Oryzias latipes: one gene and its partners. The protein of the gene in region 4 interacts with the protein of the main gene of each other region in a pairwise test. Links are inferred from orthologs where the notes say so. Each region holds a gene or a part of one and is shown on either strand. Other genes may lie near its edges.

Region 1 (3,935 bases), on a different chromosome or scaffold from region 4:
ACCACATTGAGACAGTGTAAACTGGTGGTGCTCTCCGCCCCCAGTTGGCACTGTGTTGATGTGGATCTCCATCATCTTCCATCAGAGGAATTAAAACGCTAATGAAATCAGGGCAGGCATTTGACCTCATCCATAAGCAAAGAGGAGGGAAAGCTGACCACAGAAATGCCAGTGTAGTCTGCCTCAGCAGCAAATTCCTTAAACCATTAAACGCACACAGAGCTGCATTTTGTGCACTTTAGACACATGCATCCTAGAACATTCTTGCCCCATCAGGGCACCACCCTTTACATTCCTGCGGACACAAACTGATAACCAGCTGGCATGAAATAAAACCAAAAAACTAATTGGAAAGATTTCTAAAAAGTAATGGAAAGGCCTCATGTCGCTCCAGAACATTCCTGTAAAAACACTCCCACCGCTTTCCTTTGTGTGTTTGACGCACACATCAGCACATTCAAACACACACGTAGGTCTCACCGGGTCAGCATGATTGCACCGGATGAAGTCCACCTGTGTAGGAGAAGAGCGCCCCGTTCTGAATGAATGAGTCATGGACACAGCGGGCATGGGCCCGTCCCTTTTCTTATCACAGAAGATGTGTTCGCCTCACCGTCCACCACCATCACTCACATGCTCACAGTCACCGTGCTCCTCATACCACATGCCAGCCGCACGTCAGGTATTCCAGCTATGTGGAGATTTTAGTTCTCACCCATTTCGAGGTGGGCATGTCCAAATGTCTCCCTTCAGATCCGAGCGGAATACTCTGCTGTGTTTTGATTGCGTAACGTGTCACGACCTTATAGCATGTACTAAGGACAAATCCCCAGATTTACTGTAGTCCCGTTAGCTGCAGATTTTCTCCTAAAATAATCTCGTTTGCAGTGATTCAATACAATTATGCAAACGCTGGCATATTTTGCAACTTTAAATGAGACTCCAGAGCTTTCTCTCTCAAAAGCACACAAGCCATTGGTCATCAATGTCTATTACACATTTTAGCCAAACAAATGCTCAGATTATACTTTCCAATACTGCTATTTCAAATACAGCTTTCAAAACAAACACAAAGATTTATCTTTTCTTAGGATTTAGATCCCCATCAGTTGGATGTTTAAGTCTTTCTGATGAATAGAGAGCTTTGGGAGGGCTTGCTGAGGTGTTGATTTAAATAATTCATTCAGTCATTTGTGGCAGACATCGGCCATTTTGCTTCGCAATTCATTACAGCCAAATGCTCTTTGTTCCTCTCTGCTCTCACAGCAACATGGCAGAGATGCACATTGGAAGGAGGAAAAAAAATGACAGCAATAATAATTAGCATCTGTCTTCATAAACACAGACCTCATGGAAGATTGATGACAGGAAATGCACAGCAGGCGCTCAGCTCTTCAGTAAGTGCGGGGGCCAGGATTGATTACTGCAACTATCTCTGCAGAGATTTAAGGTGTATTTTTGAGGCGGCGAGCTCCGAAAGATGGGACAGAAGTGAGGTAGCTGAGATATTTGGACCCTGTGCAAAGAAGAGGCTTCGGTGCATTGATTTGCACAAAGTGGGAGGGGTGCACTTGGAAGCAGCAGTTATGCAATCGCAGCATGGTGTGCCGAGTGCTCTCACTGCAGCACCAGTGCACGGCCAATATGGATACGTCTCAGTGTTGCTGACAACGACAGAACAGGCCGTTCTTGCCCTTTACCTGTGCCCCCCCCCCTACCCTCCAGCCCTCCACCTGTGCCCTCTCTGTTTCTGTCTGTGCAGAGGTCTGTCAAATGTCATGGAAACAGGAAACCCTCAAGGCTCCATCTGCGACTAAACACCCGAGATCAGTGTCCACAGACCAATTTCCGACCGCCGTTTTTGATCTGTGCGAGGTGGGAGTGTATCGGTGGGCATGCATTGGTCTCCATTCACACATCAGCGCGTGTATGACCAGCTGTCACATGAATCACCATGATGCAACAACAATGCAATGCAACAAAGCAAAACCTTTGCCTTTGTCCTGCCCACACAAAGAAAAAAAAGAAACATTTGGGTGAAAAACAAGGCGATGTGTCACAGCAAGAAGCATGCGCACACACAGATAATGGTCATCACACAAAAGAAAATCCTACAAAGCCCTTGTCATTACCTGTGCACTTGTTCCTGATTTTTTCTTGCTTCTGTTCTTGCAGGCAAAGCTTTCCAGTGATGATACACCGTTTGGCTCTTTGTGCGGGAAATGTCTCATCAGGGGAAGGATGCTCTCTTCTGTCCTTTTCATTCTAGGACCATCAACAACATGGAGGAGATGTAAGATGGAGGAAGCATTCACAAGGTGGACTCATTTTGCGGCTTTCATCATCCTCGGTTCCTCTTCCTCTCTCCTCTCTGTTATCCTTGTTTTTCACACCCTTAACCTTGTTTCTGTTCTTTCGAGTTCTTGATTTCTCCCATCTTCCTTTCCATCTCCTTATTTTTTGCCCTTCTCCCAAATTATTCAGCTTTTTCTGTGCTGCGCCTCTGATCTCTCATCCGTTCCCTTCCCTCCTGTCCACCGTCCTGCCTTGTGGTCTTCAGGTAAGCCTCTTCCCCTCTCCTCTGCTGTTATCGCTCAGCAGCCGTTCATTACTGCTCTTTTTTCCTCCGCTGTCTGCTTCAGTCAGTGCACCTCACAGTCACACATGCGCAGTGCCTTCACACATACATCCACACAACCCTGTCTCTGCTGGGCTCCTGGCTCACTCCCCTCATGCGTGCAGCTCTTTTTGCTTCCCCGCCCCTCCTCTCCGTCTCTCACACACTCTCCCACCACCTCTCCTTCCTCTTGAACCATCGCTGCAGCACACACTGCAGTGCCTCTGCAGGCGGGATCACGTTCCCTCGTCAACTGAGAAAATTTTTTAGCCAATCAGGACCAGACTCCCCACCCCCATCCAAACAAGCAAATATGCACAGTAGATATGAAAGCCCCCCCCCCCCCCCCCCCCCCCCCGGAAAAAAAAAGAGCTGTGAATCATGCTCTGTGTGAGCACATGTGGTCAATCTCACCAGTCAGCCACACAGGAAACACGAGGAGCCGATGGAGAAAAGACAGCTATAGATCATTGAGCATTTGCAAGAAAGACGTATGTGTTCTTAACAGTTCTCCAGCCTGGATCATGCAAAATGCACACCAAAAGAACAACATTCATGTTGTTATTTTCTGCAAGGCGTTAAAAGTTACTCGTGACCACTGCAGCAAAGAGAAGACATCTGCTTAAATTCATCTTCACAATCTTAAGACATAAACAAGGAACATGAGTTTCTTTAGAAACCACACAGACGCTGTAAAACTGCATTCTGGACACCTGACTCAGATCCAGAGGAGCTGTGATGTTGCATAATCAGGATTTCTAAGTTTGATGTCTACTAAAGCTTTCATGAAACAAATAAATAATCCCCAGATCAAAGCTGGGAAAAAAAGGTTGTGCATGATGTGAGTTCTGAGCTTAAGGCGAATGCTTACATAACGTCAGATCAAATGCAGAATATAGAAATCAACATTAGAGGAAAAGTGGAGGCCCAAGAAATTGAAGTAATTCTTGTAATTTTATATTTAAACAAAAATGAAATAAGAACTAGTACAACTTTTTTTAATTTTCTCTTTTTTAGAATGCAAATATACAAAGCTGCATTATCATGATTTGGGTTTCATAATTAATTTAATATTTGCTGTCTTACAAATTATTTTTAATGTGCTGTATGAGGTGAAATAAAATGACCATTAAGCTAACTTGATTCCTAACAATTCTGAACATATTGATTTAATATGCTTAACCGTTTTAGGCTAAACTTTCTTTACAAACATCACCCTGTATTAAAATGACAGGATTAGGTAGAAGGTCCAGTAAAAGAAGGCAGGATAAGAGAATAAATACCTTGCATGTTTTGTTCGGTGTCACCTATAATTCAC
Region 2 (4,044 bases), on a different chromosome or scaffold from region 4:
GATTTGAAGAGAAGACCTAAAGGTGGACAGAATATCAGGAGATTTCCTCATAAACATTGACTATGAATTTATCATTACTGGTAGTTTACAGATGTAATCCATTTACTACACTTCTGAAAATTGTTTTTCTTTTTTTCCCTCTGAATAGGAAAAATAACTGAAGAATTTTAGACATCAACTCCCTCTCAGTGATCCAGGACAAATAATGGTAGACATGAAAAATGCTTACAGTTAACTAATCATGAGTATTTACTAGAATACAATATATTAGTCTTCATGCAGCTATTTTAACCTTCCATTAGGTCTCTTTGGCTTTAAACAAAAAACCCTGATGATTTCAATAAACAATGGCGTTGTAGTTTTGGTTTATTTATTTAAGTAAAGTTGTATCTTAGGTTTAGATTGTTCACTTGTCTTCGATGTTATAAGGCCTGATTATTTATTATTATTTTCTTGTGACAAACTTTTTTCCTTTTGACTTGGAAGTAATCTCTAAAACAATAATAATTTTAAAGAATAAATATTACATTATAACATTAACAAGAATAACATAAAAATGTAGGCTCCTCCTTGAACAGCTGAGAAAAAATGAATTACAAATTTCAAAAACATATAACGTTTTTTTTCTCCAAAAGAAAAAATCTAATGAAGTTTAACTGTTTTAAGGAAAAAAATTCCAATGTTAAATGAATTATTTATTTAAAATAACTGACATTTTATGGTTAGTTACTAATTTCTCTTTAATGAACTTCCATAGTTTTAAATTGAAAAGATTAAATTTTTTCCCTTGTTTAGTCTGAAACACTAAAAGTACTGAAGCAGTCTAGAACTTTCCTACTAATTCTAGAAGGATCCATTCCGATGGGCCACAGGTTTGATAAACACAGGAGGACGTCTCTAGGCGATTCATCGTTTCCGTGTTTTCATGGCCGCAGTCTGCCTTCTCACGGTGACTCCGCGATGTGTGTGAACTGTCTGCTGGGATCCTGATCACGTGACACACAAGACGGCCTCTGATTGGACCTCTGGAACCGGCGTTCCTTTTACACGGACCAATCCGCGGCTGCGCAACTGTTAACAGAATCACGTCACCTGCGGAAGTAAACATAAAAGAGGCTGAAATTTATCGCTGCGTCACAAACTGGGATTTTTCTTGGACTGTTCAAGTGACGGTTTTGCGTCTGTGTCTCGGTCCTGCTCCCGGTGTCAGAACTTTGTGGTTCGGAGTCCACAGCAGCAGCAGCATGTCTGTGACGGTGAAGGCTTACCTTCTGGGGAAGGACGAGCATGTGAAGGAGATCCGCCGCTTCGCGGTGGACCAGGACGTGTCCTGCAACTTCGAATATCTCAGCAAGAAAACCGCGGCGGTCTTCTCCAACCTGATGAACTCCTCCTTCAACCTCTTCTACAAAGGTGAGCCGCATGGGCCGGGTCAGACAGAGCCGGGATCCGCTGGGTCTGATCGGAACCGTCATACTCACTAACCTGGAACCGAACTTTTTGTCAATACTTTATTAAACAGCCGCAGTAACGCGGAAGACCAACTTAGAGAAACATTCGAGTATATAGAAGGACTGTAGACATTTGAATCTGTACAAACATAATCCGCCCACTGACTTATTTAAGAAACAGCTAATTTAAAGGGATTGCTGTCACGTGACGCATGTAGCCACGCCCACAAATTTCTGTCCTTTGATTTGTGCGCAATTGAAAATATTCAGTTGATCAGGAGGCCCGAAGTTTAGACCCCCCCCCCCCCCCCACACCCACACACAAACACAGGCGGAGTAGGTGGGACCTTATGACGTAGAGGGGAGGAGCTTCAGGTGTGATTCCGGTTTATATTTCAGATGAGGATGGAGATTTGGTGGCCTTTTCTTCTGATGATGAGCTGATGATGGGCCTGGGCTGCGTGAAGGACTCCACCTTCCGCCTCTACATCAAAGGTAAATGCACGGCCTCCTGTGTGAGATCAGAGTGACCTCCCAGCAGTCCTCCCTCACGGTTTTTTTTTTTTTTTTCTTCCTGAACTCTGACAGAGAAGAAGGAGCACCGCCGTGATTTCCCACTGCATGCCCTACCCCCTTTCATGTTTGGACACCCACCACCCCATGGCCCCCCTCATGCTCCACATCACGGCCCTCCCCCCGCCCTGCACCCTAACGTCACCTGTGACGGCTGTGAAGGGCCGGTTGTGGGAATGCGGTTCAAGTGCTCCGTTTGTCCCGACTACGACCTTTGCTCCACCTGCCAGGCTCAAGGGAAGCACACTGAGCACGCTTTGCTGCCCATCTGGCACCCCCTGCAGGTGAGTTACTCCATCTAACCATCTAATCGTCTTTCCACTTCTGTCTGGACATCGTGCTGATTTAAAAGAAAGGACTTTTTGGTCAAAGCCAAAATGCACTGACTGAACCAGAAACTGTGTCTGCAGTGGTTTCCCCGTGGAAAGTGGATGAAGAGAATGAGACACTGCATGTGGAACCAGAACCAGAATCAAAACCAAAACCCAGAGCAGCAGGAACAGCAGGACCAGCCAAGGCCATCAGCATCTTCGGGTGACGGTGGAGAACCATCAGGTGAGAGAAACTCAAAAAACGTTTGAGCCTAGGGCATTAACATGCTCCCACCTTAACCTCTGACCTCTGCAGCTTCCCAGGCTAGTGTGGACTTCCTGAAGAACATTGGGGAGGGGGTTGCCGCCATGTTGAGCCCCCTGGGTGAGTGTACATAGTGGAGTTGCTGTTTTTGGGGGACAGGCAGGAAGTGATGTCATGATTTCCATGCAGGAATCGACGTGGACATTGATGTTGAGCATGACGGGCAGAGGTCGAAGGTGAATCCACCCACTCAGGCTGGAGGGGGGGATGACAATGTGGCAATGGATGTAAACGAAGGGGAGTCTGCAACTGCTGAGAGGTCAAAGGTCAGTCTGTGTTCACTGATCAATGACTGAAATGAACGTGTCAACAACTGACCCTCGTCCCCACGTACACGCAGGCAAGCCGGGACTCTGACGAGGAGTGGACTCACCTGAGCTCCAAAGAGGTGGACCCGTCCACGGGGGAGCTGCAATCCTTAGACCCCAAGAACCACGAGTGCGAGCTGCCGTCGGGAGGGCAGCAGGGGCCCCCGTCGGGAGGGCAGCAGCCGTCGGTAGGGCAGCAGGGGCCCCCGTCGGGAGGGAAGCAGGGGCCCCCGTCGGGAGGGCAGCAGGGGCCAACAGGTCTGCGGGAGGCTGCGCTGTACCCCCACCTGCCTCAAGGTGAGTCTAGTTCTCACAAGTATCATTTGCTATGACTGTTGCCCTCTTGTAAGCTCCTCCCTCTGCCCCCCACAGAGGCGGACCCCCACTTGGTGGAGTCTCTGGCTCAGATGCTGTCGATGGGCTTCACTGATGAGGGGGGCTGGCTCACCAGACTCCTCCAGGCCAAAAACTTTGACATTGGAGCGGCTCTGGACGCCATCCAGTACGCCAAGCAGCCCCGCCCACCACAGTGACCGCACCAGCTGCTTTATTTAACCTGAGTTTCTATCTGTTCAACTGTTAATCAACTCCTTAACCTGTTTCTGTCTTTTATTAATCTGTTTCTGAACAATAAAAACATGAAGGAATCCGAGTGGGTGGAGTCTTGATACACACCTGTACTGCCAAGTGCACAGCAGGCTGCTTTTGAGAACCAAAACAGTCCAAATGAAACACTAAATGTAATTTTATATCACCTGTTTCCACGGCAACACCTCCACCAGCAGCACACTTGAACCAGACTACACATAGGAGCTGCTAGAAGTCAATACTGAAGTCTTCCTCAGTTTCGAACAGGGAGGAAACACTGAGTCCTGGGTGGGGCATGTTGGGGGCTTGACTCCGCCCACAAGCTGGAGGCTCCTCCTCTTGGATTTCGGAATCAGATTTGAGAGAGCAGGCTGAGCTAAAGGCGCGGGGATGGAAGTGAGCTTCATCAGCAGAACGTCTCATTGCTGGACCAATCAGCTGCAGATAAAGAACACAGTAGTGAAAGTTGGATGACAGAAACACCAGAA
Region 3 (3,500 bases), on a different chromosome or scaffold from region 4:
GATATTTTAATAAATTGTTTAATGTTAACATACAAAGACTGAATTTTGGGTCAAGGGCTAAAACTAAATGAAATCTCCCCAACAGCTAAAGTTCTGATCTGCTACCATTAAATGATTTTGTCATTTATAAAATACTAAAACTGAATATATTTAAGTTTAAAAAACTGTCGTTTTAAACAACACCGATGAGATAACCCTATATTTCTAATAAAACTCAAAAAGAAAAGAAAAAAGAAAAAACTCCTTTTCATGCTTGACACAGCTCAAAGCACTTTACAATTAAAAAAAAATACAAAAGCACAAAAATTACTAGCAAAAAATAAATTACCGGTAGTAAAACTAACCCACCCCTTTGCCCTCCCCCTTTCCCGAATGTGGAGATTGATAAAAAAAATGAGATTTATAGTTAATTCAAAATGATGTGAACATGCAACAAAACTCAAGGTTCCAACTTTTCCTACGCATCCTATGAGCTTGTGGCTTTTTTTGATCATTTCCTACTCACTGCAGATCAGGTGGCAGACTTCTCTGGGTTTCCCACACCCCAAAGGGAAGTCGATTCCTTGGTATGTTGTATCTCAGGGACCATTGGGAGGCTTTCTGAAGACCACAGTACTTTGCCAACAACTCTACCAAATGGATGTGCAGCTCTGCATCATCTGCCACCACATTCTGCAGACATGACATAAAACTAAAAATGAAGCAAAACCCACTGATGTTTCCATAATGTATACGTCTTTGTTTTTTTTAAATAAAGCTTACCTGCACATGGTCAGCCCAGCTTTCTTCAGTCATACCTTGCTGTAAGAATAAAGAAAGAACATTGCTATTCATTTTTCTAACCCTGCAGTGAAACAGGATAAACTGAGGGGACAGCAGAATGCATTTTTCTTCCAAACTGTTGCCAAACAATGATTACAAAACAGCTGGGAAGTCTAGACTTTTGCTCACCTCCACAAAGGTTTTATACATTAGGTAACGCAGAGTGTCTAATCTCCTCTTGTGCAACGCATTTGGACACAGTGCTGCGTTAAGAAAAAGCATAATATTAGTAACACACCAAAAAATGTTTATTGATAAGCCCATATGTGCCGGGAACCCACCTGGATCCACTTTGAATTTCTCCATGAGTCTTAAGACATGCTTGGTAAGGATCTTTGGATGGATTTGTGCTAGGTTCTGTTTGGACCGAGTCAGGCCTGGAAACAGCCTGCAGAGGCACACATGCACATTGTTGGATTTCATAGCCTACTACAACACTGATGTCAACCCCAGCTCCGTTCCAAAGCTGGTTTTTACTCATTCACGTGGCATATCATACTTGTTAATCCTCTCAGCACTGAAGTTGGGGTGACACCAAGAGTCAAGCAGTGAGACAAGTTGTTGTTCAAGCTGTCTGCGGCCGCTGACGAACGCCTCTGCCAACGACAGCTTATCCAGCACAATGAGAGGCACACACATCTGTGGATGAAAAGATTAGAAAAATAGAAATACCATTTAGGAATGTTATTATCTAATTTATGATCTTAAAGTAAACATAGTCCATAAAGCCACTTAATGTTCACCCCACCTTTTCCATATTTAGTTCTTCCTGTACTTCCAGCTTCATGCTGAGGATTGCAGCCTACCAGAAAAAAAGAAAACCAATGATTTACTATCATTGCACTTGTTATAGGACTTTCAAATGTTTGTTTTTGTGTTCGGAAACTCACTTCTTTGTAATTCTTGACGTCCTGCAAATTCATAATATGGAGTCGTAGAATCGATGGGTCTAAGGACTTGAGCTGGTAGATGCTGATGAGAGCATCTACGAAGGCGGGCTGTGTGTCTGTTAGTAAGTCGAGGGCTCGATGCTGGAGTGCAAGAGCTTTTTGTTCAGGGACTGAGCTCAAGTTCACCTGAATAACACAAATGACAAGTTTTAAAAAGAAACCGTAAATTGAAATTAGTTTAATTTTAAACCGTTTTTTAAAAGGGAATTTGTTCATTCAAGTTATCCTAGATATTTATGAGGCTGACTTAACTTAAAGTTTGACACCATTCTAAAAGACCAAAATCTGGAACATCTTGATCATCTACCTGAGGGTGGTCCTTCATCCATGCCTGAAAATCCATGAGGATATGATAACCCAGAGTGTGGCTCCGACCTTTCTGTTTGCCCGGACAACGCTCCAGGATTGTTAGTAAGGCCTCGAGAGGCTCAGACAGTTTGGAAAACCCCTGCTGGGTTGCTGAACGCAGCTATGGACAAAAACAGAGAGGACCACATGTAATGTTGAAAAGTTAGCTGGTAGACTTCGATTTAAACTGAATCTCTGAGGTGCAGTTTTTTTTTTTTAGATAAAAGCCAAAAGATTTCAAAGTTAAAGTAATTTGTTTCTAATGGAATTAAAGGGTAGCTCTGCTTAAAGCCGTGCTCAAATGAAAGTAAATGTGCAAGAAATCAAGCTGTTTGATGGATTCAACGTTGCTGGAGAGTTGACGCATAAGCAGTTTAGTTGTTTTGGCTCATCTCACTAGTTATTAAACATTGATTTTGATGAAGCGTCTGGCGTTCAGAGTTCATTCTAAGTGTGGTATGCTCATTTGGCAGCCACGGCTTAACATCCACCACATGTGGTCGAAGAAGTTGTCAAAGCAAGTGAAAGAGGCCGTCCTTAATCTTCAAAAACAAAAGAAATTCCCAGAGGGGAACATCAGGAGTGTGCAAATCAACTGTTCAGTAAATAGGGGGGGTGCAGCCAGAAAATGGGAGCTTGACAACAAATGAGGGGAATTCTGCTGAGGAAAGACGTGAAAAAAATGACAAAAAAGACCAACTTGAATCATAAATTAAAGACCAATCTGCAAGAGAAAGTCAGTACTGTTCAATTTTAGCATTAAGAACAACCTTCAAATACTAGAGGACATGCAAAAACTGCCAAAACTTCAAATAAAGTCCCATCCGATCATCTTTTGATCAATTTTAGAAAGCATCCCCTGCGGTCTTTTAATTGTGATTATGTCAATTTTAGCCAGAATCACAAAAAATTCCTTTTTCTAGGCGTTTGATAGAGATTCACCATTAAGTTGTGGGCAGGACCCTAGATCCATCAGAACGGAGCGAAGAGGAGAGCTTACGGTCATTTCTGTTCCTGATTCACAACAATTTGCGGAAAGAAGTACAATTCTGAGCTTAATGTTTTTCATAATTCTCTTCCATCATGAGAAAAATGCCACAAGAACATGTTAAAAACACAATTTTCACCAAAATGGGTTTTTAAACAACTGATTTTCTAATTTATTTCAAAATCATTTAACGTTAGCGTGTCACATTTTTCACTTTTAGTGGGCATCTCAAGTATGAATTGGTCCAGTTTGTGTTTATGAATAAGCTTCACTTCATCATGAGCTTACCAAAGCTATAAAAGGGACTTTATGAGTCCAGACATTTTTGACAAATTCCTAACTTAAAGGAAATAGATGCAACAAAAATTGGCATTTGTGTTCATCTGAGAGAG
Region 4 (2,256 bases):
TGATTTGGGTATTTTTGTGCAAAAGACAATGCGATGCTAGCTAAAAGCATCCAGGATGCTTTGTTGATGTTGTTGTCTTCCCCATCTTAACAGTTGAGATGTTTCATCTCTTGATCATCAGAAGAATATTTACAAGGAAGTATTACACATCTAACTACACGTTTAAGGATTTTTCAAAAAAGACAAGGTTTCTTTTTAACTAACTGCAACTTTGCATTTCACTGTCACCATAAAGCAGCTAAACTATAGTAATGCAGTATGATATTTCGACATTTCAACTATTTACTTTCACAGGATTACAAGGACGTCTCCATTTAATTTGTAACATTGGATCATAAGAAAAAAGCGGGTCACTTGAGCAGATACGGACGCCTGGTAGAGTTCCAATATGGAGGTTCGATTCAATGGAGGATTATGGGATGGGTTTTCTCCAGGTGGTGTCGTTTTTATCGTTTCATTTCCAAGTCAGAAGTGGAGTACTGTACCTTTTACAAGGGCTCTAAAATATTACATTCCGTTAGGTGATATCAGTATTGTGGCATGGCCAAGCAGCCTAAAGAAGGAGGCGTATGGGATGGGGGAGTAACAGGGGTATCATCGGGGTGGAGGGGGGCGGGTATGGTATAGGCATAAACAATGAGGGACTTGCTGTTACCAGATGGTATACCCTCCATTGGATCCGCCCATGAAGAAGTTGTTCTTACGCTGCGTCATGACAACGTTGGCGCCTTGCATGGCGGCCAGCTGAGCTGCGTTGGGGGGGTGTCCTGGAGGTGGTGGCTGATGAGGGTTGAAAAACAAAAAAGAAGAGTTGTTAGGGACAGCTTAAAAACTTTTGCAGTGGATGTGGCTTTTTCTGCAATGCTGGGTACTCACTGGGATGGAAACGCTACTGCCAGCTGAGAAGCGAGCACCAGCATCAAAGCCACCTTCAACCATTACTGTTGATCCAGGGGAGTACATTGTTCCCATGGGATAGTAAGCCATGGGGACATTCTGGCCCACCGGTCCAACCTGCATGTGTGGCTGCATGGGCATGTACACCTGGGCGCCAGGATAAGGAGAAGACATCTGCGGCACCTGGCCAGTCATCTGAGGTGGAAGCACATACCTGGGCTGGTATATCTGCAAAGAAGGAAAACAGGTGTTTTAAAAAAAAAGCAACAACAGGTTTTCGTCTGTTAATAGTTTAGGTTATCAAGAGGAGGGCTACCTCAGAATACGCAGGTGGTGTATCCGTGTAGGGGGGTGCCTGAGGAGACATTTGCATAGCAGGAGGGTACACAGGTGCAGTGCTCTGCTGAGGATACACAGCCTGCTGTGGATATGAACCTGCAAAACAGCATTTCAACAAATTACAGTACCAAAAGATGTATTTTTACCAACAAAAACATGTCCAAAACAAAGTATCAGAGCAAGAGTGATTATTCTGGCAAAAAGAATGACTGAGCTGTTTATTTGTCACTAGAAGTCTATGGGATGTGGGCGTAATATTATTATTATTATTTCTTTTTTTGGGGGGGGGGGTTATTGAAGCCAGCGGGTAGTTCCTGTTTGGAACGCAAGGAGAGGAGTCAGTCCTATACTCACATACAATCAGTGGATTCACCTAAAGAAAACCTACAAACCCCAAACATTTTACTTTATATTATAAAAACCTCTATCTGGTGCATTAAGATATTAAGATATTAAAAATAAACATTTTTCCTTGTTATAAAAGTTTAATGATCTTAAAGAATATGTTTACTATTTATTTGTACCCCTTTGATCACTATATACTACTATTTAATATCAAAATGCATATTTGATAGAGATGTCACAGTTTTGAACTGAAACCAAACCTTATGATAGACCCCTGGCCAGAGTAGTGGGGAATCAAACCGGTGCGTCCCACCTGCATACCAGTGTGTCAGACACGTGTTGTGCTAAATTTAAGAAGGATCTATAATTTCTTGTTTTATTACATTGCACCAGTCTTAGTATGAGCCAACTAAAGGGGTTTTCTTTCATTGTTACTGGCTTATTAGCAAATTAAAAATCTTTTTTTTTTTTCATTTGTAGTTTTTGCTTGCTTTGTAATACAAAATCTAAATATCAAACCAAATCAAAACCATGGCTCAAAAATAAAGGTTTGGATCGAATCGTAATGTATATCTCTGCATCCTTGATTGTTAATATGATTTTAACAGAAAATCCTCATAAATTATCTTTTTTTTAATGTAGAAATCATTATTTTTATAAATATTTTTTATCTGA
Region 5 (3,500 bases), on a different chromosome or scaffold from region 4:
GAGCAGACTGTCATTTAGGTGTCCATCGAATAACAGCCCACTCACAGTGGTACCAGAGGTAGATGGAGAGGCACAGTTGAGAAAGGAGTGAGACCTGTCAATCAAATTAAGTTTTATTCATAACATACGGCTTAAGTGTGACTCAGCGATGGCCTGTACTTGCTCTGAGTGCTGCTATTCTTTTTCTTACCCATGGACAACCCACGTGTCGGACTCATCGACACGACTAACGTAGTTCTCGGGAAGAAGACCGGACAGCCCTGTGCCTAGCGAAGTGCCATACACCCAGCCCTCACTGGCAGTAGTCTGCTCCACCGGAGACATAAAGATGAAGTCTCCCGGCAACAGCTCCAACTCGTCATCGTTCTGAGGCACATATGGGTACATGACTTGCAGGGTCTAGAGAGAGCAAATGGAAAACAGACATTAAAAGAGGATTTAACAACAAAAAAATGAAAACAGATTGTAGAGAGAAATAACTTAAACAGGTAAAGTTTACCTCATGATTGGCAAAGCGGATGTCCCGGGATAGGAGCACAGCCAGCCAGTCACAGCCTGAAGACGCATCCACATTTTTGGCCAACTTCTCCAAAGCCGGAAGATGACTGGCTTGAAAGTGGTACGCCAAAGTGACGTGAAGTTGCTTCTTATGGGGCTCCACATGGACATCTGGATCAGGTTGGAGATCAAACATTTACAGCTGACTTAATGGGGAGAATGAAATACCTCCTTCAAATGTGTCTGTTTTCTAAATCCCAACAATTGCAGACTTTCAATTAATGACAACCAAAAACATAGATTTTGTCAAAAATATTATGTCTTATTCAGCTGTTTCACCCTGCTACGATCCAATCCAGCTGCAACCTAAGTTTATTCATCTTTAGTTTCTACTAGACAGTCTTCACCTAACTGACTTTAATATGACTATAATTTTGAATTTTATTTTCTGAAATGAATTCTTGCTAATATTCTTAGAGATATTTTTTGTGTCGTTCTCCTGCTGAAGGTCCAGTCATGTCCAAGTTTGAGTTCCCTCACAGATGGCATGGTATTTTCCTCTTGGCTTTCCTCACACTTGACTGACTCCATCTCCCTCCTCACACTGCTGGTTTCTTGTGCCAAAGGAAGCAAAGCAGCAGGATGTTCGTCTCAGCATAATCTTCAGTCTTCCTTTTCCAGACACATCGCTGATCCAGAGGTCTGAAAAATCCCAGTTTTATTTCATAGTTCCACAAGAAAAAAACTCTAGTGGACCATTTGTATGGCTTTGAGTTTACTGGAGCAAACTAGGCTCTTTATTTGTCTCTATGGTGTTGTGTGCCTTGGAGATTAGTTTAGGATGTCTCTTTGTCCAACTGCTGAGATCTTTCCAATCACTGGAGCATTTTTGCCCACAAGCCTTCTTGGGAACCATTAGCTGCTTTCACACCGCCTCTTGGCTCTGCTTCGGAGGCATCTGTACTCAGCCTCGCTGTGATGAGGGAAACAGCTCCACAACTGGACGGCATTTTGTTGCCTCTGGATTCAATGTCTAGAGTTGGTTACAATTTAACCAGAGGCTGAATGGAATACCAAACTGCATGACAAACAATCATGACTCTTCTTCTCACCTAATATCATGTAAACAGAAAAAAGAAATGAAATGTTGTTGATCAACTTTCCACATATCCCTTCAGGGGTTGCCACAGCAAATCAGCTTTCAGCCATTCTCACAGGTGGTTTGGTAGATTTTTTACACTGCCCTTCCTGACACAAACCTGTATTTTATCTGGGCTGGGGACCGGCACAGGGAAACCCAAACTGGGGCCCCTTGTGGCTACATTCTTCTTGCCCAAGGACCAACATGACGAAGGTCATCGCGCCCTCTGGGAAACGAACATTGGTTTCCCATGCGCCAGTCCTACACGCAGCCAACTGAGCTAATCAGAAATCAGATAATAAAAAAAATGATGGATTCAAAGGTGAACATCTGGATTTTATGAGGAGCACACTACCCAAACAAGTATTCAAGTATTTGCTTTCTTCTTTCTCGGTCCATGTATGTCTTCATTTTCCTCATCTGAGCTGCTTGTACGGCTTTGTTATCTGATTTTTGGGGGGCATTCCATTGGCTGAATTCCCTAACTGTATAACCTTCTATCCTACTGTCGAACTGAAAAAAATATAGAAAACATTTAGCAGAAATTCCTTCCTGAAGGTCAGGAAAAAGCTAACAGTATTAACGTGTCTGAAAGTCTAACCTGCTTTGGAAGCTGCTTCAGTAGAAAAATCAGAAGCAAAAGTCTTCAGCATCTCAGCTATCTGCTCGTCCACAAACAGGCCGATGAAGGTGGAGGAGGTGTAGAGCTCCAGGGGGAGGGGCATGCCTATGCGACCTTTCCACTTGGCCACAGTGTTCTGGAGGGCGTCTGACAGAGCTTCCACTTTTTCATCAGCACACTGAGAACGGCAGAGATGACAAAACAGGAAGATCAGCTTCAGTACTGAAACTGAGTCTGTTAAAATCGGACAATATGGCTCCATAAGCTATACATTTCGTGGATGTCTGCTTTAAAAATGTCCAACAGTGAGACTGAATCAGTTCAAAGATGCAACATCATTTTTGTGACATGGAAAAACTGTGGCACAAAGGTGAACTTGGGTCACAGCTTTAAGACCCACTCTAACCATCTTTTGATTTATTTTCAAAGCCTTCCAAGTGGGCTTTTAACAATGATTATTTTGTTTTTAGCTTAAATTTAAAAAAGAAACCTGTGTTGTTGACATGGTTTCTGCAGAGCAGCAGGAGTTCGTTAGAAACTCGCCATTGCGTTGTGGGCGGGACTGCTGGTGCGGAGTAAGCCCTCACTTCCCGTCAACAATCTGTTTATACTTTCCCCACTAGTGACATACAGAAGCAGTTTTAAGCCTAATCTTCCTCATATGTCTTCCATCATGAGAAAAAGGCCACAAGAACATGTAAAAACACCACTTTCAGAGTGGCTCTTTAAAACCAAGAAGTGGAAAAAACAACAACACTTTTAACCAAAGAGCACTAAAAACTTGGCCACTTCTATTTTTGAAAGGAAAACTTGTCAACCCTCTACTTTTTCACTACAGCAAAAGTGCTTCACTGAGAATGTTGCAACATGAGGGACACGAGGCCCGGAGTGGATGAGTAATAACACTTTAAAGAAATACACAACTAACCATGAAAAACTGACAGAGGGTGATGTGAGGAAAGATGTTGTGAGCCTTGTTCTTGCCACAGGAAAGGCGAGATTGCTTCCAGAAGCTATTGAGCTGCTGGAGCAGCGGCCCACTGGGTCGCAAGTAGAGCACATACTCTCTTGGCAGAGTGTCATCCAGGAAAGGGTCGTCCAAGTGTGAGAAGAGCCTGAAGGAGTCAAAGGAGAGGTGACCAACAAAAACAGAGTCATTACCGCTACTGTCCAGCAGAGGGCACAGATGCTACAAACGCAGTGACATAAAATAACCTAAAACAAGGTCAGTTTATCTTT
Region 6 (4,040 bases), on a different chromosome or scaffold from region 4:
GAGAATCTGAGGTTTTTCGGGATACTTTTGTTTGCGTTTTTTTTCCCCAGTGGATCGTAAGATAATTTTTTTTTTTAAAGTGTATTGCATTCAATTGTAAATGAAAAAAGATCATTCAAATCTTTTCCACATTTTCATTCGAACATGTTTAAGAACTACAAACAGGCTGGGCTCTAACCTCATCTGCTCATGGAAATTATAAGATGAGCAGAAAATGTGTTCTTCTTTTCTTTTATAATATGTTTTAGATTTTTTTTTAATACATGAAACGTTTTTTGTGTTTGTTTGCTTGTTTTAATTAAATGCAAAATGTTTCCATACTTTCATACTATGGAAGCACTTGTGTCTCATAATTAAAAATGAAAGTCAGTACCAGAAATGCCTTTTCATTTTCACAACAAAGCTGCGTTTGTTGACTTTGTTTGACAATTCAAGAAGAAAAAGAAAAAGCAGTTTGGCAGATTGATTTTTCATTTTATTTTTGAGTTGACAAACGCAGCTTCATTGTGAAAAGGAAAAACTGTTAATCTGTTAATCCATTTTAATTGTCAAATTAGATATTTCTAGTTGAATGTTGATACACATTTACTAGAGAACTTTTTGAAAATGAAATGTCAAACACCATTCTCTTTATCCTTTTATTAAAGGTGACAGATTAAACTTTGTTGAAGAAACGAAAATGCCGTTTGGCAGATTGATTTTTCATTTTCTTTTAAATAGATAGATATAGATAGATAGATAGATAGATAGATAGATAGATAGATAGATAGATAGATAGATAGATAGATAGATAGATAGATAGATAGATAGATAGATAGATAGATAGATAGATAGATAGATAGATAGATAGATAGATAGATAGATAGATAGATAGATAGATAGATAGACAACTTTATTTATCAATGGGGGAGGTTCCCGCATGGAAATTGACATCTCCATCGCATACAGCACTGGTTGACATACGTATATGAAAGAGCAGTACAGTATCCAGAAAAATTAGAACAGTAAAAACAGTAACAGTTTAAATATCTGCAGAACAGCATATACAAAAAAAAGTCATTCAGGCCCTTTCCCTTTCCTTTTCTGTCCCCCTCCCCCTTTAAGTCAACAAATGCAGCTTTATTGTGAAAATGAAAAAGCATTTCTAGTACCGACTTTTATTTTTTAATTATGCTACACAAACGCTTCCATACATGGCTTTCTTAAGGAGGGGGGAAATAGGAAATCCAGGTTCGTCTTCCACACCAGTTGGTGGCGGTAATGAGCTTCTTAGCTGTTTTGGCGCCGCTATTTCAACCACAGAAGAAGAACCCTGGCTGAATCTTTTACACTTCAGATGTTTTTACAAACTTTAGACTCATAAATAAAATGGACAGCAGCGATGAAGAGATGGACGGAGACGATGGCCAGTGGAGGAGCCAGTTCACGGGTCCAGAAGAACCCGCCACTTCCGGTAAACTCTGAAGCTTTAAGCTAGCCCGTGTCGGAGCTCGCGGCTGTCATGAACTTCAGTTGTGTCTCCGTTTTCAGGATGGAGCGTAAATAATCCTCCAGGAGCTCCTCACAGAGTAATTCTCCACTTTGACCTGGACTGTTTCTACGCTCAGGTGGAGATGATCAGAGATCCTTCTCTGAGGGAGGTTCCTTTAGGTAAATTCTCTGTTTTAGGCAATTTTCCACCGTTTTCTTGTTTCTGCTGCAGTTTTCTTTTTTGATTTCAGATTCCCGCCTTTCATGGAGTTTTTTTCTTCTTCATTTTATTCCATTTAGATGACATTTTACCGTTATGACCATTTATGGACATTATATAATTGCACTTCCCCACTAAATAATAAATTTATTTCCATTTGACATTTAATATTTAATGGATTAAGTGTAGTTTTTAATATTTCTGTGTATAATTAAAGGTAATTATAATGACCTCATTAACATGTGGATATATTTATATGGAGATTAATGTAGGCTACATGTGTGTCTATAAATATATTTGTGTATATTTCTATACCATCTTTTTCTTTAAAGGTTTTTTCCAGTTGTTTCATAGCAAATAACCCTAAGTTCTAATGTATTTATGTACAGATAAGTATTTATTTAGTTTACTTTTTTCTGTTTTAAATTCCAGATTAACCGCACTAGAGCAATCTGGAATAAACTGGATTAAAGCAAAAACACAGGAACAAAACTTTGTTAAACATAAATGTATAAACTTAATTTAAAGGACGAACAATACATTGTAACAGATAGGAAATCTCAGAGCAAAACTCAGTATCCAGGTGTGACTTAGTTATATACCTCTTAGAATTTAAAGTTGCTCAAACGATGACGTCTGTGTCCTCAGGCATCCAGCAGAAGTACATCATCGTCACCTGTAATTACGTGGCGAGGGAGCGCGGCGTCACCAAGCTGATGTCTGTAACCGATGCCAAAGAAAAATGTCCAGAGCTGGTTCTGGTCCGAGGAGAAGACCTGACGCTCTACAGAGAGGCTTCCCATCAAGTGACAGGCAGGAATCTGGAGCCGTTCTTAGGCTAATTAAAAACAGATCTACAGGATCAGATTGTGGAGAAGAGCGATCCTGAGACTCTGATTGACTTTACCTGCCGTTTTCCTCCTCTCAGAGCTGCTGTCGTCTTTCTGTCCTTTGGTGGAGAGACTTGGCTTTGACGAAAACTTCATGGACGTCACAGAGATGGTGGAAAGGCGGATGAAGGAGACGCCGCCGCCTGAAGGATATTCGTTTTCTGGACACGTCTACAACCCTTCCAGTGAGTTGGACTCGCATCGCTGCTGCAAACCGTCGCTGTCAGGAAACTGAGAGGAACTTGCAAATCAGGATATTTGCATGAGAATCTCGGTTTCTTTCCTGCAAGCGGTCCGTTTTTTGCAGAACGCCATGCCTCTGTGCAGACGCAGAGATCAGCGGCAGCGACCACCCGCGGCTGGCTTTGGGCTCCTACATCGCGGCCGAGCTGAGGGACGCGGTCCACAGCAGACTGGGCCTGACGGGCTGCGCCGGCGTCGCCACCAACAAGCTGCTGGCCAAGCTGGTTTCAGGCACCTTCAAGCCCAACCAGCAGACGGTCCTGCTGCCGGAGGACGTCGGCCACATCATGGAGTCACTGGGCGGAGTTCGGAAAGTTCCAGGTACGGAAAGATGGCCTCCTAAAAAGCAAACCTGTGGCGTGTTTGAGAAACTGTTCAACCTGGACGCTGCCCTCAGGTGTGGGGCATCAAACGGCTAAAAAACTCCACCAGCTGGGCGTGGTTAGCGTGAAGGACCTGCAGCTCCTCCCACTGCCTGACTTGGTGAAGGAGTTCGGAGGCGCTGTTGCTCGGCGCCTGAGGAATCTCTCCCTGGGTGTTGATGACTCACCTGTCACCCCCAGCGGGGCTCCCCAGGTGAGTCGGGACATTCGCTGAGCTTCTGACAAAAATACAGACTTTGATTAGATCAAAAAAGTAAAATATATACCACACAGTTTTTTTTCTTTTTTAAATGACTTTAATATGATAAAACGAATGATATCTGATTGAACACAGACAAAGGAAATGTGTCAGTTCTGGTTGTTTTTGATCTCAGTGCGGCATTTGTCCATTGGTAATTTCACATCTGAGCTAGCAGAAATTATATGTGGAGTTCCCCAAGGCTCCATCCTGGGGCCACTTTTTCTATTTAGCATTAACATCAGGGCTAATATATATATGTACATATAGTTTATATTTATACTTTTTCTAAAGTTTTTATTTGAATAATCACCCCTTTAATATTCTTGTTAAATATTTCTTTAAATTTTTTTGCCTGGAATTATTTTTGATCCCAAAATCACCCGAGTTAACGACATCATTTTTACTTTTCTTACAAAATAAAAGTCTTGTTTCTGTGATTCTGATACTTAAAGAGTTTCATTGTTGATTGAGGAGCAAACAAATAGATTTATTGACACTGTTTTCTATTACATTATTTTCTATATGATTTTATTTTATTGAGGTTCAAAGGAGTGAATGAAGAACTGAAGCTTCATCTAAAAACTCCTGTCGTG
Region 7 (3,945 bases), on a different chromosome or scaffold from region 4:
TTTTGGGTTTATTTTAGAAAACAAAACCACAGAAATTATTTTAAATGTTGTCATTATCCTGGATAAATTCTGTTTACCGTACACAAATGTCAATTCCTTATAAATCAAACTATATTTTTTCACATTTCATAAAGAACTTTGCTTTTATTTTTCATCTGTAAACTTCATGGAAAATAAGGTTTGCTATGAAACTCTAAAGTATCACATGTAATTTACAGCTTTTTGATAAGTTATTGATCATTATAATGCCCATGTATCCCCCTTCTTTTAGGTTTGTATTTTTTGTTATTATTTTGTGATTGTTGTTTACCTTTTTCTGTGCCCGTTCTAATTGTAATTTTGGCTGTGAGACTGTAAACCTCAAGTTAGTCTCTTCAATAAATAAAGATTTAAAACAAAAATGTATGTGGTTTCCTCCTTTTACCTGTGGATGGGCGTATTCCGAGTAGGGGGGAGGAGCCGATTCCATGACTTCCTGTGTGAAGCCGACCTGCGGGGCTGCAACCACCTACACACGTCAGAGCAACAAAGGTTTCCCTTAAACCGTAACTCTGTCAGAAACGCCAGACAGAAAACGCTCACAGGTCTAAACTACAAGCTTCTGTTCCACTTGATCCCATCTGATTTCGTGTTCATTTTTAGATCAAATAAAAAAAAAAAAAAAAAATCAAGCTTAGTTTGAGTCTAAACGTATCAGACGATGAAAAATCTTACCATGTTAATCCTGGCATCTTGAAGCGCCATGGTCCATGCTCTGTGTTAAGAAGCAGGAAAAGACGTCAGTCTCACTAAAAGCTTCTCCACAGAACCCAAGAACTACATTTGATCAAAGGTGACACCTAAAGAGTCTTACAGAGCATCATCTGCACTGTCAGCACACAGGCTGATGACACGCCCGTCCCTGCACACTATCTGCAGCAAGGCATCACGGGACTTCCCCTCCGGGGGGGTCAGATCTGACAGGAAATGCAGGAAGGCCCACAATAAAAAAACTCAACGTTTAACTTTAAGGGTCAGCAACTGTCACAGTATCGCGGATGCTGAAATTCACCCTGGCATGCAGCAGAGTTGCGGATGTTGATGCAGCTGACTCTCATGTGGATGTCATCCTCCATGTCCCGCCTCTGCTGATCATTGTAGAACACCAGGCGTCCGTCAGCCCATAGGTCAAACCAGTTTCTCTTCCAGCGGCGCAGGATAGTACCTGCGATGAAAAGAAGCAGCTTCCATCAGCATCTGAACCTCTTTTTTATTACAATTAAATATAACTAATTGTCCAAAACATACAGAACAATAACAATGAGGATGCACATGCATTACAAAACATACATCACAAAAAATTAAAAATGTTCCAGGGCAATATTTAATTATTACTGTTTTGTTCTAATAAGATTCTAATTCTTTTGTTGTTACAGGGATTATTTTTAGAAACTTTAGATTTGTGAATATCAAACTTACCAAATATAATAAATTAATTTTCATCTGAAATTTGAAAACAACGTTGAAATGTATAAAACATTTTTTGTAATATTTCAGTTCCAAAATAGGTGACTCAATGTGTCTAGCTGCTCTTTGGGATGACCTGCATAGGCCGCGCATGCGCGTGACTCACTCTGTCTGTGAAGCCAACCGCTCTTCACCACAGCCATCTGAGAAGACACAACCAAACATGCTGGAAGTGAAACTCAGCAGAACCCCAAAAACGGACTAAATCGACAACAAGGCTCGATGTGACCTGAAATATGTTAGCAGTAGCTACAACTTCCGCTTTGACATGTTACATACATTCTACTAGATGCAGAAAAATTTCCCCAAAGCCGCATTTTAGCCGCAGCGTAAATTTAATACCAACAAAACAGTTTGGAGGCTCAAGCAGTCATAGATGCTATATGGTTGACGTACGTACGTAACCGCGCGTGTGACTCGACAATTCGTCAAAAGGCAAAAAATAATTTGCAACCAGCACGAGATGAGAAGCTTCTGGAGCGGACGGAGGGACCTGCCTGTTCCGTTAGCCGGACCGGACGGACGGACAGAGAGGCTGCAGGAGCCCCGCCCACCGAGACGTTTGTTTTGAATGACGCAACGCACCAGCTGACCGAGCTGGAAAGTGCTGGTAATCTGAGCGGGAACGCGCATGTGAAGGTCTCGCTTGGTCTGCGGGGTGGTGGAGCTGCCAGATCTTCGGTCGGTTTCCCGGTGTTTGGAGCGGAGCGCAGGTCGACTGTCTGCGGAAATACCGTCTAACTACAATCAGTCGAATGCTCTGGAGACGAGACGGGAAGAGAAAAGTTTGAGCGGCGGCGGAGCGGAAGTCCTACAACGACAGGGACCGACGGGCGACCCGGAGTTACAAAACAAACTTAGCGTAGCTTGGTTTGGCTAGTAGTTTGGAAGCTAAAGAGCGCGCGGGAGCCGAACTCTCCGTCAACAATGGCTACTGCTATATACCTGGAGCACTACCTTGACAGTGAGTATCCGTAGAAGGTCCTGGAGGAGTTTTGGTTCGGGCTTCTTCGGTCTTTTTCGTCGCCGTGTGGCTGCGGGTAGTTTAGCAGACGGTAAAGACTAAAGTGTGTGGTAGTAGCACACCTAAACTGATTATACGTACATGTTTGTGACGTCACTTGGGTTGACTTGTGATGGCTTCACAGATTCACGCCGGAGCAGAAATATACTGAGACGAAACCCTTTTAGTTTAGTATTTCCATTGGAGTCACGTTTTTATTTATCTATTTTTATTATTGAGGGATTTTTAACTCAAGAACTGTTTTTCAACCCCGCGTGAAGGCGCTTCCGTTTGCTGCCGGGACTTCATGATGTGCAGCCTGTGCAAACCGCCTTTTTGGTTACTGCGCAGGCCCGGTGCCCCCCTGACTCCACGCCCTGCAGACGAGCCCTTCCAGCTGACGCTGGGTGGCGCTAGAGCGCTGTGCATCCTGTCAGCCCCACCATGCTGAGCACGACCATGATGTGGAACAGGGGCCACCTACATCCTTAGAGCAGCGTTTTTTAACCAGTGTGCCGTGGGAGATGGTCATGTGTGCCGTGGGAAATTGCCCTCATTCACTGATCTAAAAACATTTACCATCTCCAGGATTTCAGCTCAAAAGATCGGATACGTCTCAGATTCAGGACCACATACCCAAGGGGCCTGGGTCACATTTGAAAAGATGGGATCTGCGTCGTCCAGACTGTCATGAAAAGATCAGATACAGGTCACAGGGGGGCAAAAAAATCGGAATTGGGTCGTTTCAGTCTGTGGTGTGAACGTAGCCTTTGACGTCTTGAAACCACAACGAACACGCATCAAACAGTTTTTAAATATTTTAACTTAACTTTTATTACATCTTTTAGAAGAAACAGCTGCAGCTTCCAGCTTTTTCTGCCACAATTATCACAGAAATGCATGTGAGATTGTGGAGGGACTGTACATCAATACAGACTAAGAGTTTCTCCCTTTTCTTTATTTTTGGATGCTGGTGTGCCGCGGGATTTTTGTCAAGGTTTAAGTGTCCCGTGGCTCAAAAAAAGTTGAAAAACACTGATCTAGAGAGCAAGACTAGAGAAAGCCAGAAGGAGCTGCATTTCCAGAAGAAAATGCAAGGTTTTAACGTATATTGCTTAATGAAAATGAAACTAAAAGGGTAAGAATGGGCACAAAATAAAAAATTAAATAAAGAAATGTTCAAAGTTGACCATAAGTAAAGTAAAAACGGCAAAATAATAAAGATATTTTTGTGAAAAATGCCAGACAAGTTTCTGCACCCAGGATTCCCCATGTATTTCAATGGAGGCAAAAATCATGGAATATCTGGAAAAGTTCAAGGATTTGAAGGACCAAAAGTCATAACTGGAAAAAGCTGAAAGAGCTGAATAGTTAAAATAGCTGAAAAATTGTAGAAGGAGATAAGCGGCCAAAAATGTCAGAAGATACTATGATAA

What was found.
Region 1: the proteins of dazap2 (region 4) and rnf208 interact in binary tests that used the Homo sapiens proteins (3 or more experiments, as listed by UniProt). The two-hybrid records come from large-scale screens. The link is inferred for Oryzias latipes from reciprocal best matches to the Homo sapiens genes DAZAP2 and RNF208.
Region 2: the proteins of dazap2 (region 4) and sqstm1 interact in binary tests that used the Homo sapiens proteins (3 or more experiments, as listed by UniProt). The link is inferred for Oryzias latipes from reciprocal best matches to the Homo sapiens genes DAZAP2 and SQSTM1.
Region 3: the proteins of dazap2 (region 4) and exd3 interact in binary tests that used the Homo sapiens proteins (3 or more experiments, as listed by UniProt). The two-hybrid records come from large-scale screens. The link is inferred for Oryzias latipes from reciprocal best matches to the Homo sapiens genes DAZAP2 and EXD3.
Region 5: the proteins of dazap2 (region 4) and ubash3b interact in binary tests that used the Homo sapiens proteins (3 or more experiments, as listed by UniProt). The two-hybrid records come from large-scale screens. The link is inferred for Oryzias latipes from reciprocal best matches to the Homo sapiens genes DAZAP2 and UBASH3B.
Region 6: the proteins of dazap2 (region 4) and poli interact in binary tests that used the Homo sapiens proteins (3 or more experiments, as listed by UniProt). The two-hybrid records come from large-scale screens. The link is inferred for Oryzias latipes from reciprocal best matches to the Homo sapiens genes DAZAP2 and POLI.
Region 7: the proteins of dazap2 (region 4) and plekhb2 interact in binary tests that used the Homo sapiens proteins (3 or more experiments, as listed by UniProt). The two-hybrid records come from large-scale screens. The link is inferred for Oryzias latipes from reciprocal best matches to the Homo sapiens genes DAZAP2 and PLEKHB2.

What each region holds. Positions count from the first base shown.
Region 1 is NC_019870.2:14,790,701-14,794,635, reverse strand, and holds the start of rnf208 (RING finger protein 208), read right to left. Parts: upstream 2,801-3,935; 5' UTR 2,133-2,800; intron 1-2,132.
Region 2 is NC_019868.2:3,816,862-3,820,905, reverse strand, and holds sqstm1 (sequestosome-1), read left to right. Parts: upstream 1-1,244; coding exon 1,245-1,413; intron 1,414-1,850; coding exon 1,851-1,946; intron 1,947-2,039; coding exon 2,040-2,308; intron 2,309-2,434; coding exon 2,435-2,579; intron 2,580-2,651; coding exon 2,652-2,720; intron 2,721-2,789; coding exon 2,790-2,926; intron 2,927-3,000; coding exon 3,001-3,265; intron 3,266-3,340; coding exon 3,341-3,501; 3' UTR 3,502-3,615; downstream 3,616-4,044. Other genes in the region: mrnip (MRN complex-interacting protein), read right to left, coding at 3,785-3,994. UniProt on the Homo sapiens protein: Molecular adapter required for selective macroautophagy (aggrephagy) by acting as a bridge between polyubiquitinated proteins and autophagosomes.
Region 3 is NC_019870.2:15,860,838-15,864,337, forward strand, and holds part of exd3 (exonuclease mut-7 homolog), read right to left. Parts: intron 2,242-3,500; coding exon 2,080-2,241; intron 1,899-2,079; coding exon 1,713-1,898; intron 1,625-1,712; coding exon 1,571-1,624; intron 1,462-1,570; coding exon 1,322-1,461; intron 1,211-1,321; coding exon 1,104-1,210; intron 1,026-1,103; coding exon 952-1,025; intron 802-951; coding exon 763-801; intron 673-762; coding exon 506-672; intron 1-505. UniProt on the Homo sapiens protein: Possesses 3'-5' exoribonuclease activity. Required for 3'-end trimming of AGO1-bound miRNAs.
Region 4 is NC_019865.2:22,359,146-22,361,401, forward strand, and holds part of dazap2 (DAZ-associated protein 2), read right to left. Parts: intron 1,333-2,256; coding exon 1,214-1,332; intron 1,126-1,213; coding exon 877-1,125; intron 781-876; coding exon 652-780; 3' UTR 1-651. UniProt on the Homo sapiens protein: In unstressed cells, promotes SIAH1-mediated polyubiquitination and degradation of the serine/threonine-protein kinase HIPK2, probably by acting as a loading factor that potentiates complex formation between HIPK2 and ubiquitin ligase SIAH1.
Region 5 is NC_019872.2:15,465,856-15,469,355, forward strand, and holds part of ubash3b (ubiquitin-associated and SH3 domain-containing protein B), read right to left. Parts: intron 3,377-3,500; coding exon 3,190-3,376; intron 2,440-3,189; coding exon 2,241-2,439; intron 670-2,240; coding exon 500-669; intron 400-499; coding exon 191-399; intron 95-190; coding exon 1-94. UniProt on the Homo sapiens protein: Interferes with CBL-mediated down-regulation and degradation of receptor-type tyrosine kinases. Promotes accumulation of activated target receptors, such as T-cell receptors and EGFR, on the cell surface.
Region 6 is NC_019867.2:1,943,930-1,947,969, reverse strand, and holds the start of poli (DNA polymerase iota), read left to right. Parts: upstream 1-1,240; 5' UTR 1,241-1,368; coding exon 1,369-1,453; intron 1,454-1,530; coding exon 1,531-1,650; intron 1,651-2,292; exon of another isoform or gene 2,293-2,338; coding exon 2,339-2,503; intron 2,504-2,618; coding exon 2,619-2,765; intron 2,766-2,907; coding exon 2,908-3,144; intron 3,145-3,220; coding exon 3,221-3,399; intron 3,400-4,040. UniProt on the Homo sapiens protein: Error-prone DNA polymerase specifically involved in DNA repair. Plays an important role in translesion synthesis, where the normal high-fidelity DNA polymerases cannot proceed and DNA synthesis stalls. Favors Hoogsteen base-pairing in the active site.
Region 7 is NC_019862.2:3,235,668-3,239,612, forward strand, and holds the start of plekhb2 (pleckstrin homology domain-containing family B member 2), read right to left. Parts: upstream 2,801-3,945; 5' UTR 2,612-2,800; intron 2,552-2,611; exon of another isoform or gene 2,541-2,551; 5' UTR 2,471-2,540; coding exon of another isoform or gene 2,434-2,470; exon of another isoform or gene 2,106-2,433; intron 2,082-2,105; exon of another isoform or gene 1,903-2,081; intron 1,650-1,902; coding exon 1,613-1,649; intron 1,205-1,612; coding exon 1,052-1,204; intron 957-1,051; coding exon 854-956; intron 755-853; coding exon 715-754; intron 509-714; coding exon 425-508; intron 1-424. Other genes in the region: ing5 (inhibitor of growth protein 5), read left to right, coding at 2,434-2,470. UniProt on the Homo sapiens protein: Involved in retrograde transport of recycling endosomes.